Linked DNA regions of Drosophila melanogaster. The protein of the gene in region 1 interacts with the protein of each later gene in a pairwise test. Each region holds a gene or a part of one and is shown on either strand. Other genes may lie near its edges.

Region 1 (8,399 bases):
CCTTTCCGGAGACCGCATCCTGCAGCATTTCGAAGGTAAGCAAGTCGCTGAGATTTTTTGAATACCCAAATGACCATCTATATTAACTGCATCTATATTCCATGCACCACAGATGGCCGAGGCGGGATTCTATTGGACGGGCACCAAGCGGGAAAACGACACTGCCACTTGTTTTGTGTGCGGAAAGACCCTGGATGGCTGGGAGCCCGAAGATGATCCGTGGAAGGAGCACGTGAAACATGCACCCCAATGCGAGTTCGCCAAGCTATCGTGTCCCGAAAGGAATTTAACCGTATGTTCCCCATGACTCCCGAATCCAGCTGGCATCCTAAACTTGTGTATAATTCTTGCAGGTATCACAATTTCTGGAAATTCTTGGAACCGTCGTTAAAGGCAGCATAGAGAAAACCTGCAAAGCCTTCAAATCGAGCTTCGTTCGGGAGAATGAGAAGCGTCTAGATGAGTTTACGCGTAATCAAAAATAGAGCGCTAATTTTTAAACCTTAAATATACATATATAAAACTCGCTATTTATCAAGATTTTTAATAAAACGCAATGTTAGTCCATCGAATGTATTTATAAATTAAACTGTAATAGGATTTTTTTTTAATTGCTTATTTTAAACCAATCTGTCTCGTGTTCAATTTAAAAACTTCAAGGTCGTATATGGTCATACTGAGTCTTCTATGTGGAACAGCTGATTAAAACCAAATCCAATGCAGCTTTTAAATCCTGCGATTTGTTGTCCTGTTCCGCTGAAGCAAACGTTATGCTGAAGCGCAAACTGAACCAGCAAAAATGCAATCTGGAGATTGGGGAGCCCACTAAGACATCCGCAAGGCAGGGCAGTACATCGGAATTCTTTGATAAGCCGCTGTGGCTTAAATTCTACGAAACCGAAGTCAAGTTAAATGAGGCGCTGGAAAAACTGAATCCTCCTGAGAGCACACCGTTCATCTACAACCCGATAGTATATGCATCCCAGCTGCACTGCGACTATTTACGTCGCTATATGGACGGTCCCAAGAAGCTGGTATTTGTTGGCATGAATCCAGGGCCCAATGGAATGGCCCAAACCGGAGTAAGAGCTTAATCTTGTAGATTATCCGAACATATTGATACATTGACGCGCTCTGCTTCAGATTCCCTTTGGCAATGTGCGCACAGTAAAGTTGTTAATGCAGCTGGCTGGTTCGGTGGACCAACCTCCAGTCGTGCATCCCAAACGTCCAGTCGCTGGCTTGGATTGTCGGATTGAGGAGCCCAGTGGTGTGCGTTTGTGGGAGCTGTTCCTCCGACTGGCTGGCAGCATGCAGACCTTCTCCCAGCAGTGTTTCGTCCACAATTTCTGTCCGCTAGCTTTCTTTGGCGCAGATGGCAGGAACATAACGCCCAGTGAAATCAGAGGAGCTTACAAAAATCAGCTAGGAGACCTGTGCCTGCACACCCTGGAGGAACAACTGAAGCTCCTCCAACCCGACGTGATTGTGGCCGTTGGGGAGTATGTTCACAGCGCACTGAAGCGTTCAGGATATGCCAAATCCAATTGCGTTTCGGTGCTCCGACTGCCGCATCCTAGTCCGCGTTCTACTAATAATACCAATTGGCCCGAGAAGGCTCAAGCATTTTTGGAGGAGCACAACCTAATCCGATTCATGCGGAATGAGGCTTGAAGCAAAAATGGTCAATTATTTAGATAGTATTTACATATCTGTATCTGTACAAATACATTCTATGTATATATAAGGATATTACTGCACATACTATAACTTTAAAGCTCTACATTTATAAGTGAGTGGCAAAAGAGAATACATTATTAATAATTTCAGTATTCTATTGAAACAGAATTCTCTATTTTATTTTGAGATATTATTTATTTGCGGGGAATACCCCAAATACAAAAGGTGACTTCGCTTTCCCACCGTGACCGCTCGTACAGTGACCGCTCACCGTGACCGCCAGCTGTTGCGCAGTGCTGGAAAGTGCCGCCTGAGTGAGAGCTACCCATTGTTTTTGTTGACCTGGTCATTTCATCTCATCTGTTTGCGGCTTTTCACCCAGTTCGCCCGAGTCTATTTCCATGCCAAATGGCCGCCTTCATGGAGGAAGCGTTAGTGGAGGCGAGGCGGGCACGTGACGCCGGCGAGGTGCCCGTGGGCTGTGTGTTCGTTCATGGGGACAAGGTGGTCGCACGTGGCGGGAACGAGGTGAACGTCCACCGGAACGCCACTCGCCACGCGGAATTCATTTGCATCGACGCTATCCTCGCCAGCTGCCGCGAGAGACGTCTGCCGGCCCGCCAGCTGTTCAGCGAGATCACCGTGGTGGTCACCGTGGAGCCCTGCATTATGTGCTCCGCCGCCCTGCACACTCTGGGCGTCAAGGAGATCATCTACGGCTGTGAGAACGATCGTTTCGGAGGAAAGACGGTCGTGGATGTGGCCGCCGTCGTTGGCCATAGGATCGAGATCACGGGCGGTGTGCGGGCGGATGAGGCGATGGCTCTGCTAAAGGATTTCTACAAGGGCGACAATCCGGCGGCACCGCCACAGGCCAAGAAGAAAAAGTAGGATCAATTGTCGAGGCCAAAAGCGTGCGTGAAGAAGGGGTAATTATAAACCTAAAGAATTTGCTAGAGAGAACGATACAGTATTGGTTTTTCAGGAGCATGAATGGAGTCAACCACTGATCCTCAAAGAAGTAGGAAGCTATTACAGTCATTGAAGTAATATTTAAAGTATGATAAAACTATAGAAAAATAGTAGAATGCAAAAGTCTACGTTTTCGTAAAATTCAATTACTTCCAAGCCTTCCAAAATCCGGAAACGAGCAGATTACCGAAAATCCGAAGGCAAACCTCTAGTTTACTCATTATTTCAGAGGGAACAAGCCAAGAAACGTATTTATCTTATAAAAGGAATAGTATTCCGTCGAAATCATCGTGAAATAGAGAACGAATTTCAAAAACGCAATCAGAAATGAAAGTAGTTAGAATACATAAAACTACAATCGCATAAAGAATGAAAACATTAGTGCTCCAGTCATCTGCATCCTGGAGGCATACATCCGAAAGTAAAATAAGTACCACTGCATCATTCTTCGACGATTTCTGTATATGATTCAATTTATTATAATCTTTAAGCATAGTCTAAGATATATTGTATATGGCGTTCAGAACGTATGTTTTAACTCTAAGCATAAATACAATTACTGCATGAAAGCTACAGCATTTACGTGTGTGTAGTGAAGGCTGTGCCTGTTTCCACTATAGGAAGACTACTCAAAACCTTTTGTTTCCTTTTCAAATGCGTAAAGTGCAGTCTCGCTAGCAGTCCGACACCAAGAATCTAGTTTACCCTCCAACAATCGAAGCAATATATATTATAGAAATATATGGTTGTATTATAGGCTAACTTGTTTTAAGTTCCCACTTGTAAGATAAATGTCGGAGGGCTGCACCCGTGCTTAACCTAATGTAATTTCCCTACGTCCTAAGCTAACTCTTCGGTTCGATCGTTTGCTGCGCCAGCTTATTGCCTCGATCGCAATCAGCTAGCTGCCAAGCTGGCCATCAAGTGCTGGCGCAGCAAACGAACAATGGCGGGCGACTAAGTGAATCTAGACTAAATCTAATTAAATGCGCATGCTGCGGCGTCTATGGCCAATGTTGAGCCACTCCAGCGGCACGTTTCCGCCCACATTGTAGGTGGTGGGCGTGCAGTTGGGCAGCTTGCGGGCGGGCTCGCATCGTCGGCTAACGTTCCAGTAGGCGAATCCCTGCGGACAGCGGTGGATCTGGCCTTCGATGCGACCCGTCAGCTCCGAGAATCCGCACTTGACGAACAGCTGGCCGCACTGGTCGTTGTTGAGCGCGAAGTGACCCTCATCCGGGCAGAGCGGATCTGTCGTGCTGATTTGAACCTGTTGATGGTAAAATAATTAAATTGTATTATTTCATTATGGAATGTAGACTAGACTTTACAATTATACGACTTACCACATTCTGAAGTTTCGTTTCCTCTTCAAACGCGTTGGTGGTCCTCTTCATGTCCTTGGAGCACTTGTCACCTGCCGGTGGCTTGCCACAGCTGCAGGACTTGTCTTGGTAGACGGTTCCGTTGGGGCATTGGAATACCACGATGTTAAGATCATTGTTATCGGCACTTTCGCTGCACTGGTAGAACATGCCGCACTTCTCCGGATGCCGGCGGAATCCAGTGGGGCAGACGTACACGTTCTGACCTGGTCCGGTTTCGGGACAAGGAGCAGAGGTATTGGTACTGGGAGCAGGACTCTCCGTAGTGGTAGGCGATTTTGACGTTGATGTTTCTTCCCCAGCTATGGTAGTGGTTTCAGGCTTGGGTGGTTTTGTAGTGGTTTCAGGAGTGGCTGTGGTGGTTGTGCCAGAAGTAGTAGTAGTGGTTTCGGAGGCTACTGTGGTGGTGGTTTCAGGAGACGATGTAGTGGTGGTTTCAGGAGCCCATGTTGTGGTGTTTTCAGGGGCCTTTGAGGTGGTTTCAGGTTTTCCAGAGCTGGTTGTACTCTCCGTCGTACCAGGTTCCGTAGTCGTTCCCGGCGTGGTCGTCTGTCCCGATGAGCAATTGCCAGACACCTGATCGGCGTAATTGCAGGTCTCGGTGGACGTGTCCCAAACAGTTCCTTTGCCGCACTTGAAGGCATAAACCTGATATTTGCCGTTTTTGGCTGCATCCACACAACGGTAATAGCGACTACAGTCCTCGGGATCTGGGAAGAATCCCTCCGATGAGCAGTTATAGTTAGGCTGTGGCTCCGGCTGAAGAGTGGTTACTGAACCTTCAGGGGTGCTGGATTCGGGACTTTCCGTGGTTGTTGTGGGTTCGGGTTTTTTTGAGGTTGTAGGCTCTTGAATTGCATCCGTGGTTGTGGAAGGTAATGTGGTCGTGGTAATAGGTTCGCCGGTGGTAGTTGGCTTATAGCCAGGAGTTGAGGTTGTAGTTTCTACCGGAATCGGCGTTGTTGTTGGATTATAGCCCGGAACAGACGTTGTTGTTGGATTGTAGCCCGGAATACTTGTGGTGGTGGGTTCTTCAGTGGTCGGCTTCTGAGGATATTCGGTTGTAGTGGGTTTCTGGGGCTTCTCTGGAGTAGGCTCCTCCGTGGTGGTCGGCTTCTGAGGATATTCGGTTGTAGTGGGTTTCTGGGGCTTCTCAGGGGTAGGCTCCTCCGTGGTGGTTGGCTTCTGAGGATACTCGGTTGTAGTCGGCTTCTGCGGCTTTTCTGGTTCCTCTGTGGTGGTTGGCTTCTCCGGATATTGAGTGGTCGGCTTTTGAGGTTTTTCTGTTGAAGGTTCTTCGGTGGGTTTTGTAATGGGTTTTGTCACTGTGGTGGGCTCATCCGTTGACTGCGGAGTGGTGCTTCCGGGATCCTTGGACTCTTCACTTGGTGTCGTAGTGATTGGTTCAGCGGGTAACTTCGAGCACCTTGGTATATTCTCCACGTAGTCACAGGTCTGAACTTCTTCATTCCATCCCGTGCCCTTGGGACACGTAAAGTTGTACTTTCTGTAGGAAGCTCCAGCATTGATGCATCGGTAGTATTTCCTGCAATCTTCGGGATCGGCCATGTATCCCTCTCCTGTGCATTCCGTTCCAGCTGGTAGGGGTTTCATAGTGGTTGTAGACGGTGGTTGCGTGGTGCTTTCCGGACTTGTGGTTACCGTTGATGTTTCAGTTTCCGAACTCAATGTTGTTGTAGTGGGTTGAGCTCCTGTGGTCGTGGTGGGTGGCAGTCCAGTTGTTGTAGTCGGAGGCAAGCTAGTAGTTGTAGTGGGAGGCAACCTAGTAGTTGTTGTAGGAGGTAAGTCTGTGGTTGTAGTTGGAGGTAACTCGGTTGTTGTAGTAGGCGGCAATCCTGTTGTTGAAGTGGGTGGTAAATCAGTGGTGGTGGGTGGAGGTGTGGTGGTCGAGGACGTAGACGTGGCCGTTGTTCCATTTGTTGCTGGCTCACAAGGCGGTTTTGGAGTGGTACTTTCAGTGCCCGTACTGCAATTGTTGAAATTGTGGTTGCAGGTCTGCAGATCCTGATCCCATACGGTACCAGCTCCACATTGGAATGGAATTGAGGTGAAGCCGCCTTTGTTGTTCCTTACACAGCGGTAGAATTTGGAGCAGTTGTTGGGATCAGCCATAAAGCCCTCCGATCGACATTTGCCATCCGTATTGGGTGCCTGAGTAACAGGAGATGTGGTTTGGGATGATGAAGCTGTTGTTGGAGAAGAAGTGGTTGGTCTGGCAGTCACTGGACGTGCGGTAGTGGGCGGACCTGTGGGTCTCGACGTTGAAGTTTGGTCAGAAGGTCTAGAAGTGCTTGCCGTTGTTGGCCTGGAGGTCGTCGGAGTAGAAGTTGTAGGTGGAGCAATACCACCGCATTCCTTTACTGCCCACGCATGATTACAGGCCTGCATCTGGGCATCCCAAACAGTGCCAGGACCGCAGCTAAAGGGTACCATATTGAAGCCACCTCTGTCATTATCGACGCAGCGATAGAATTTGGCACAATCCGATCGATCGCCAATAAATTGTCCATTAACTTTGCAGGTTTCAGATGGATTTGGTTTTGACGAAGTCGAGCTGCTGCTGGAGGAGGACGATGAGGAGGAACCTTGATTATTATTATTGCTTGATGATGATGAAGACGATGTTGACGAAGATGTCGATTGATTTCCAGAAGAGTTCGAGCCGGAAGAGGAGCCACTATTGGAGGATGAGCCTTGATTCGATGAGCCACCGCTGGAAGAAGCGCCACTGTTTGACGATGAACCTGTATTGGAGGAGGAGCCACTGTTGGAGGATGATGAACTGGAAGATGATCCACTGTTCGACGAGGAACCACTGTTGTTTGAGCTACTCGAGGAGTTGCTGGTGCTGTTAGAGGAGCTTCCGCCTTGGCTAACCACCTTTTTGCATTTGAGCGGCTTGGTCTGGATCTGATCAGGATGGTTACAGCTGTTGGCCTCAGGATCCCATAGCGTGTTTGGAGGGCAGGTGAATGATACTTTTGTAAAACCACCCTTACCATTATCCACGCATCGATAAAACTTCGAGCAGTTTTCGTTGTCAGCCAAGAAAGTTTCCTCACTTTCACATTTCTCTGCAGGTTTGAAAGGCTTTTGTGTAGTGGATGATGATGTCTGGTTAGATGATGACGATTGATTGGAGGAGGATTGATTCGAGGACGATTGGTTAGACGAAGAACTTTGATTTGAAGATGATCCCTGATTTGAGGAAGATCCTTGATTCGATGATGATCCCTGGTTAGAAGAGGAACCCTGATTAGAGGACGATCCTTGGTTCGAAGATGAACCCTGGTTAGAGGATGATCCTTGGCTCGAAGATGATCCCTGATTGGAAGATGATCCTTCGTTGGAGGAAGATCCCTGGCTAGATGATGATCCTTGGTTAGATGACGATCCCTGATTGGAAGATGATCCTTGGTTGGAAGAGGAACCCTGATTGGAAGATGATCCCTGGTTGGATGAAGAACCCTGGCTGGAAGATGATCCCTGGTTAGATGACGATCCTTGGTTGGAGGACGATCCCTGGTTAGAAGAGGAACCCTGATTTGAAGATGATCCCTGGTTAGAAGAGGAACCCTGATTTGAAGATGATCCCTGGTTAGAAGAAGAGCCCTGGTTGGAGGATGATCCCTGATTGGAAGAAGATCCCTGGCTTGAGGATGATCCCTGGTTGGAAGAGGAGCCTTGGCTGGATGATGATCCACTTCCATTGGCCATAGCCTTGCATTGCTCCTTTTGCACATCTGTTGGATGGTTACATCCCTTCGTATCTGGATCCCAAACCGTTCCAGGGGAGCAATCGAAAGGAACTTTATTGAAGCCACCGCTACCATTCTCTACGCATCGATAGAATCGGGCACAGTCCTTCTTATCAGCCAAATATGTTTCCGTATCTTGGCATTCACCATCGGGATTAGATGGCTTTGTTTGAGTGCTCGTGGAGTTATTATTTGAGCTTGAGGAGCTTTGGTTGCTAGAAGATGAAGTCGAGCCTTGATTGGAGGACTGATTGCTTGAGGATCCTTGATTACTGGATGAGCCTTGATTGCTGGAAGATCCTTGATTGCTGGATGAGCCTTGATTGCTGGACGAGCCTTGATTGCTAGACGATCCTTGATTGCTGGATGAGCTTTGATTGCTGGATGAGCCTTGATTGCTAGACGATCCTTGATTGCTGGATGAGCTCTGATTGCTGGATGAGCCTTGATTGCTAGAAGATCCTTGATTGCTAGACGATCCTTGATTGCTGGATGAGCTCTGATTGCTGGAAGATTGATTGCTTGATGAGCCTTGATTGCTAGATGAGCCTTGATTGCTAGACGATCCTTGATTGCTGGACGA
Region 2 (4,512 bases), on another chromosome or scaffold:
TGCCACCATCCCGACGTTTTGTATTCTGAAACCCAAGGCAGGATTTGGGCGGCATTCGACCCTTTTTTCCGGTTGGTGCCACATCATTTGCATTTGGCTGTAGTGGTTACTTAACAGCGCGTGGATCTGTTTGGTGTTGGTTGCAGTTGCTCTTTTCAGTCCATGTCGCCAAGTTCCATTTTATATGCAGCAGAGACAAATCCTCAAGTGGCGAAGGCGTCACTAGAATCTGCATGCTTAAGGGTTAAGTGATCCCAATCAGGAGAGTACTTCCTGCTACCTGTTATGTACATATCAACGAATCTTGTATACCCTTTTATATACCCTAAAATATACCGTATACATGTTACACGTTATAATTGATAAGAGCTATGCGTTCTATGCTTTAAATCCTTTTGATTAGGCAATGCGTTTCGCAATATGGAACACTATGAAAGAAGGTTTTTTTTAGTTTACTGAACTCAACTCGACATTAGTCTATAAGCTTCGACCAACCAAGATTCTTTGCCCCAGGCCAAGTGTTCGGGGTTTCCATTAAATTTAGTTGCATGAGAAATGTACGCTCGAACTTTCCACAAAATAATTTCTCCTTACTGCATCAGATTGGCAGGTTCATGACACCACGTGGGCAACACAGCAACATTTGGCGACAGCGAGACAACATCGGGTTTTGGCCAAGCTGGTGCAACGGCAACAGGTTGCCGCTGTGCCCGATATCAAATTTCAAGTTCGGTTGGCCAATTGGCGTTCGAAACGAAACCGAGTGAAGAAAAAGGACGCCAAATAAAAAGAAACGCCTTGTTGAATAGCCAAGCCACCTAGTCTGTGACTATCGTCCACATTCTGGCAATCAAACGAGCTAAGTCTATAAGAAGGCGGCGAAACTTAACGTTTGCACTCTGCAGAATACATATTTATTTACTCAAATATTTATGATTTGAGTTTAAATTTGTATTCCAACAGGAAGGAATGCCAACTCTTGTAAAGGGAACTTATCTCTAAAGCCGACGATTACGTGTATCCTTTCCCGAAAGAGCGGGAGATAGATTCTGGAACAGAGTTGGGTTGAGTTGGACTCTTCAATCCGTGTAATTGGATATATGATGGCTCGCAGAACTCGGGAGATTTGTAACTAATAACAATGTTTTATGCTTCCGAAAACAAACCTCGCTGTGTAAATACCCTTTTTGTAAGATTCGGCCAATAAATGGAAGTATTGGTCGAGAGATTTAGATGTGGTTTTGACCTGCTAGATAGTTTCCTCTCAGTCCACGAGTAACGTAACTAAAAGTCGAAGCGATCCAGAATAGTTTTTCTTCTTGTTCATTTGTAGAATATAGGTTACACCTCAGCAAAGACTGTTGCACCTCAGCAAAGACTGTTGCATGCCACATAAGAGACGTTTTCGTCAAAGCAAACCATCACATGGGAGGTTGCCGGCAAGCGGCACTTATCATTTATAAAGAAGAAACGGTAGGGCAGCGCAAACGCAGCGAACTTAATGGACTGTAATTACGACTGGCAGTTGAACAGGGAGCTGTGGTTGCTTGTCTGCTGAGCGCTGTAGAATATTAAGACCTAAATTTGCGTGTGCAAAATTTACGACGTGTTTACGATGCCTCAAATTATTGGTTGCACTAATGCGTTACAGAAACGCAAAGTTAATTTCCGCTCTCTGTTCTCCAGGACTGGTTATCACGATCGCAGCCGCGGTTGCACCCCTTTCTACTTCAATGAAATGAATTAAAGGAAGGAGACTCTGTGTCGACTGTCAGAGCAAAAGATTTCGAGTCAAGTAATTTAGCAGGAATTAACATATTTAAAATTTGCCGTGATAGGTTTCTACTTATCCAAGCATTGGTAATTTGGAAATTTTCGGTTAAATGGAACTGGAACGCGAACTGCCCACCGACGACGCCTCCGTGGAGTTGGATGTGTCCGAACCATGGGGTGATGTGAGATCGTCAGATAGCCAGCTTACCCTGAAGCAGAGTGAGAGCCAGGAGACGATAAGACCATTTGGGTATGAGTTAGCTGATCCATCCGAGCTTAGCTCCTACGACATTCACCTGGGTCTTCTAGTAGAGGTTAGTATGGCCACCACGGACGCTCGGTAGTTAACAAAAGTCTGACCCCGCAGAAGGGTTTAATTGACATTAACTCATTGGACAAGCCCTCGAACGAGGACCTTACAGACTATCCGGACTATCCGGGTCTTTTGTCCAGGTCGGCGGATCGTAGTGGAATTGCTGAGATAGTCAAAGAAATGCGAAACGAATTCATGGACAAGCTGACCTCTAAGGCTAAGAGCTTCAAAGAAATCCTGATTAAGGTAAGAGTTTCTAGCACCATTTCATATTCCTCAATGCTACGCTTTCAGAAAGGCTTAATGGAGCCAAAGGACGAAAATCCTGCTATGCAGAAGAATGACTCTGAGAATAAAGCAAAGACCAAAGACGATTCTCAGATTCCAGATCGTAAGAACAAAGCGGGAAAACCTCTAGGAGAAGGCGACGTCAGACGAAATGGTGAACTCGCCCTGCTCATCAATGAAATCAATCAGTTTACTTCTGGCATGGAGCAAGATCCGGACACTGCGGACTGGGCTCGGTTCCGGGCCAACCTGCTGAAAATACATAAGTACTATGTGAGCGTCAATGAGCCGGAAGGAAAAGGCCAAGAACGACCAAACAGCCAAATCGGCGCTGTCAGCGTTTTAGAACCATCAGACATCAGCGGACCGAAGGAAGACCTCAGCAGTCGGGCCCAGTACCTCCGTAAAAATCTCCGGGGTCTCGAATGCAAAATGCTTACCCTGGACCACTCCGTTGATATCTTTAGCGACAAGTTCCATCGTAGTCTGGTCACTAAAGAGCATGTGGAGCGGGAAATGGTGTCGATTGCACTGGTGCGCGATAAAATCGGACGACGCCTAAATCAGATGGAAGTGGAATTTCGCAGGGCCAAGGAGGATTTATTTGATCGGGGCAGGAACCCAAAAAACCAAAGCTATATCGCTTATTCAAAGAATAATCCTGATTGTGGAGCTTGATTAATATGGTTTTTATGAGAGTTAGCTATAGATTATTAGATAGGGCTAACAACTTTTCGGAGTAATAATGATAATTATTGTAATAATAATAATTATAGTAATAATAATAATTGTTATTTAAATACATAACTTTTCCGACCCAATAAGCATTTGGTATGTGAAATTAATTAGTTTTTAATAGGCCGATATCATACAAATTATAAGCATTCCTTGTATAAGAAAATATAAAATAGCAGCAAATTGTATATGCCGACAACTTTTTTTTAATATTAATAAATTCATTCAATTTAAGTTTTGACTTTTATTAAGTTTATTAAAAAACAAGCAACTTTTCAATTCAATTTTTTTAACTTGTTATTTAGCTAGAGGGAGTACAATTTCAACATTTGTTTGAATAATAAGACACTCTAAAACCGGCCATAATTTTATTAGTATTGTAAATTTCTATTGATTTGCCAAAAAAAAACTTTTTGCTACGCCTACTCTAACGCCCTAATGCCGCCGAATCGGTCACGCCCACACTTTGGAAATTTTTTAAACCTTTTTCTGATGAAATTTCGCGTTCGCATTCACACTAGTTGAGTAACAGGTATCTGATAGTCGGGGAACTCGACTATGGCTTTCTTTCTTGTTTTGTTTGTTGACCAGCTTTTGAAAATGAAAATTTAATTTTAAAATTAATTAATTATTAAAATTAGTAGATAGGCATATTTATATTAAATTTAGTATTAAAAGAGAGTTTTGTAAAAATATTGTTCGCAAAGTGACCGAACAACGCTCAATAAGTAATGTACATAACATTACCATTGCTATGAATACATTTTGTTTTGAGTACCAAAAAAAGGAATATTTGAAAATCCTTCTAATAAGCGTCTAATCAATTCGGACTATTTGTAATATGATTAGTAATGAGCTAGAAATGTCGCCATTCTGATTGCTAGACAATGGATTTGCTGCTTGCATATTATTTCTCTATCGCACTATTTGATTGGTATCTGATAGTCACAGCAGTATACTGCGAATGCACGCCCACTCTAAATCTGAAGAGGCATTCTTGAGATATTCTTGACAGTACAAATTTATTTAGTCATCTTAAGAAACCCAAAAAGTTGTGTGAAACTGCGGCAAGGTGGCGTTCGTATAAAATCCAGGGAAGAGCCGCGTTCCTACTCGCATGTCTCCATTTCCCTAACACTCCACTCCATTAAGCTGATTAACCAGTATATGATAGCCGCATAACTCAAATCTACTTTTTGTAGGTATTTCTAACAAATGTTCCTTAGAAGTCAATTTCTTTAATCGTTAGTTGCTACGGTAGGCTCTGTCTTTAAGTTCAGTTCAAAATTTTCGTCCGTTAAGCACTTCCAACACCTTACATTTTTTCGTGACATAAGGAGGGTACTGGGGAGTCCTTCCGAAATGTCCTGCTTATTTCGCTGCCCTTTATGCCCTTATAGTTC

What was found. The genes of interacting proteins can lie anywhere in the genome.
Region 2: the proteins of CG5292 (region 1) and CG32459 interact in a two-hybrid assay, tested with the Drosophila melanogaster proteins (one large-scale study listed by BioGRID).

The regions. Positions count from the first base shown.
Region 1 is NT_033777.3:17,149,886-17,158,284, forward strand, and holds CG5292 (uncharacterized protein), read left to right. Parts: upstream 1-1,975; 5' UTR 1,976-2,088; coding exon 2,089-2,571; 3' UTR 2,572-2,609; intron 2,610-2,665; 3' UTR 2,666-3,634; downstream 3,635-8,399. Other genes in the region: Det (deterin), read left to right, coding at 1-35, 113-292, 354-485; Smug (Single-strand-selective monofunctional uracil-DNA glycosylase), read left to right, coding at 771-1,082, 1,144-1,674; Mur89F (mucin related 89F), read right to left, coding at 3,635-3,922, 3,999-8,399.
Region 2 is NT_037436.4:22,853,367-22,857,878, reverse strand, and holds CG32459 (uncharacterized protein), read left to right. Parts: upstream 1-1,819; 5' UTR 1,820-1,883; coding exon 1,884-2,087; intron 2,088-2,140; coding exon 2,141-2,332; intron 2,333-2,380; coding exon 2,381-3,052; 3' UTR 3,053-3,296; downstream 3,297-4,512.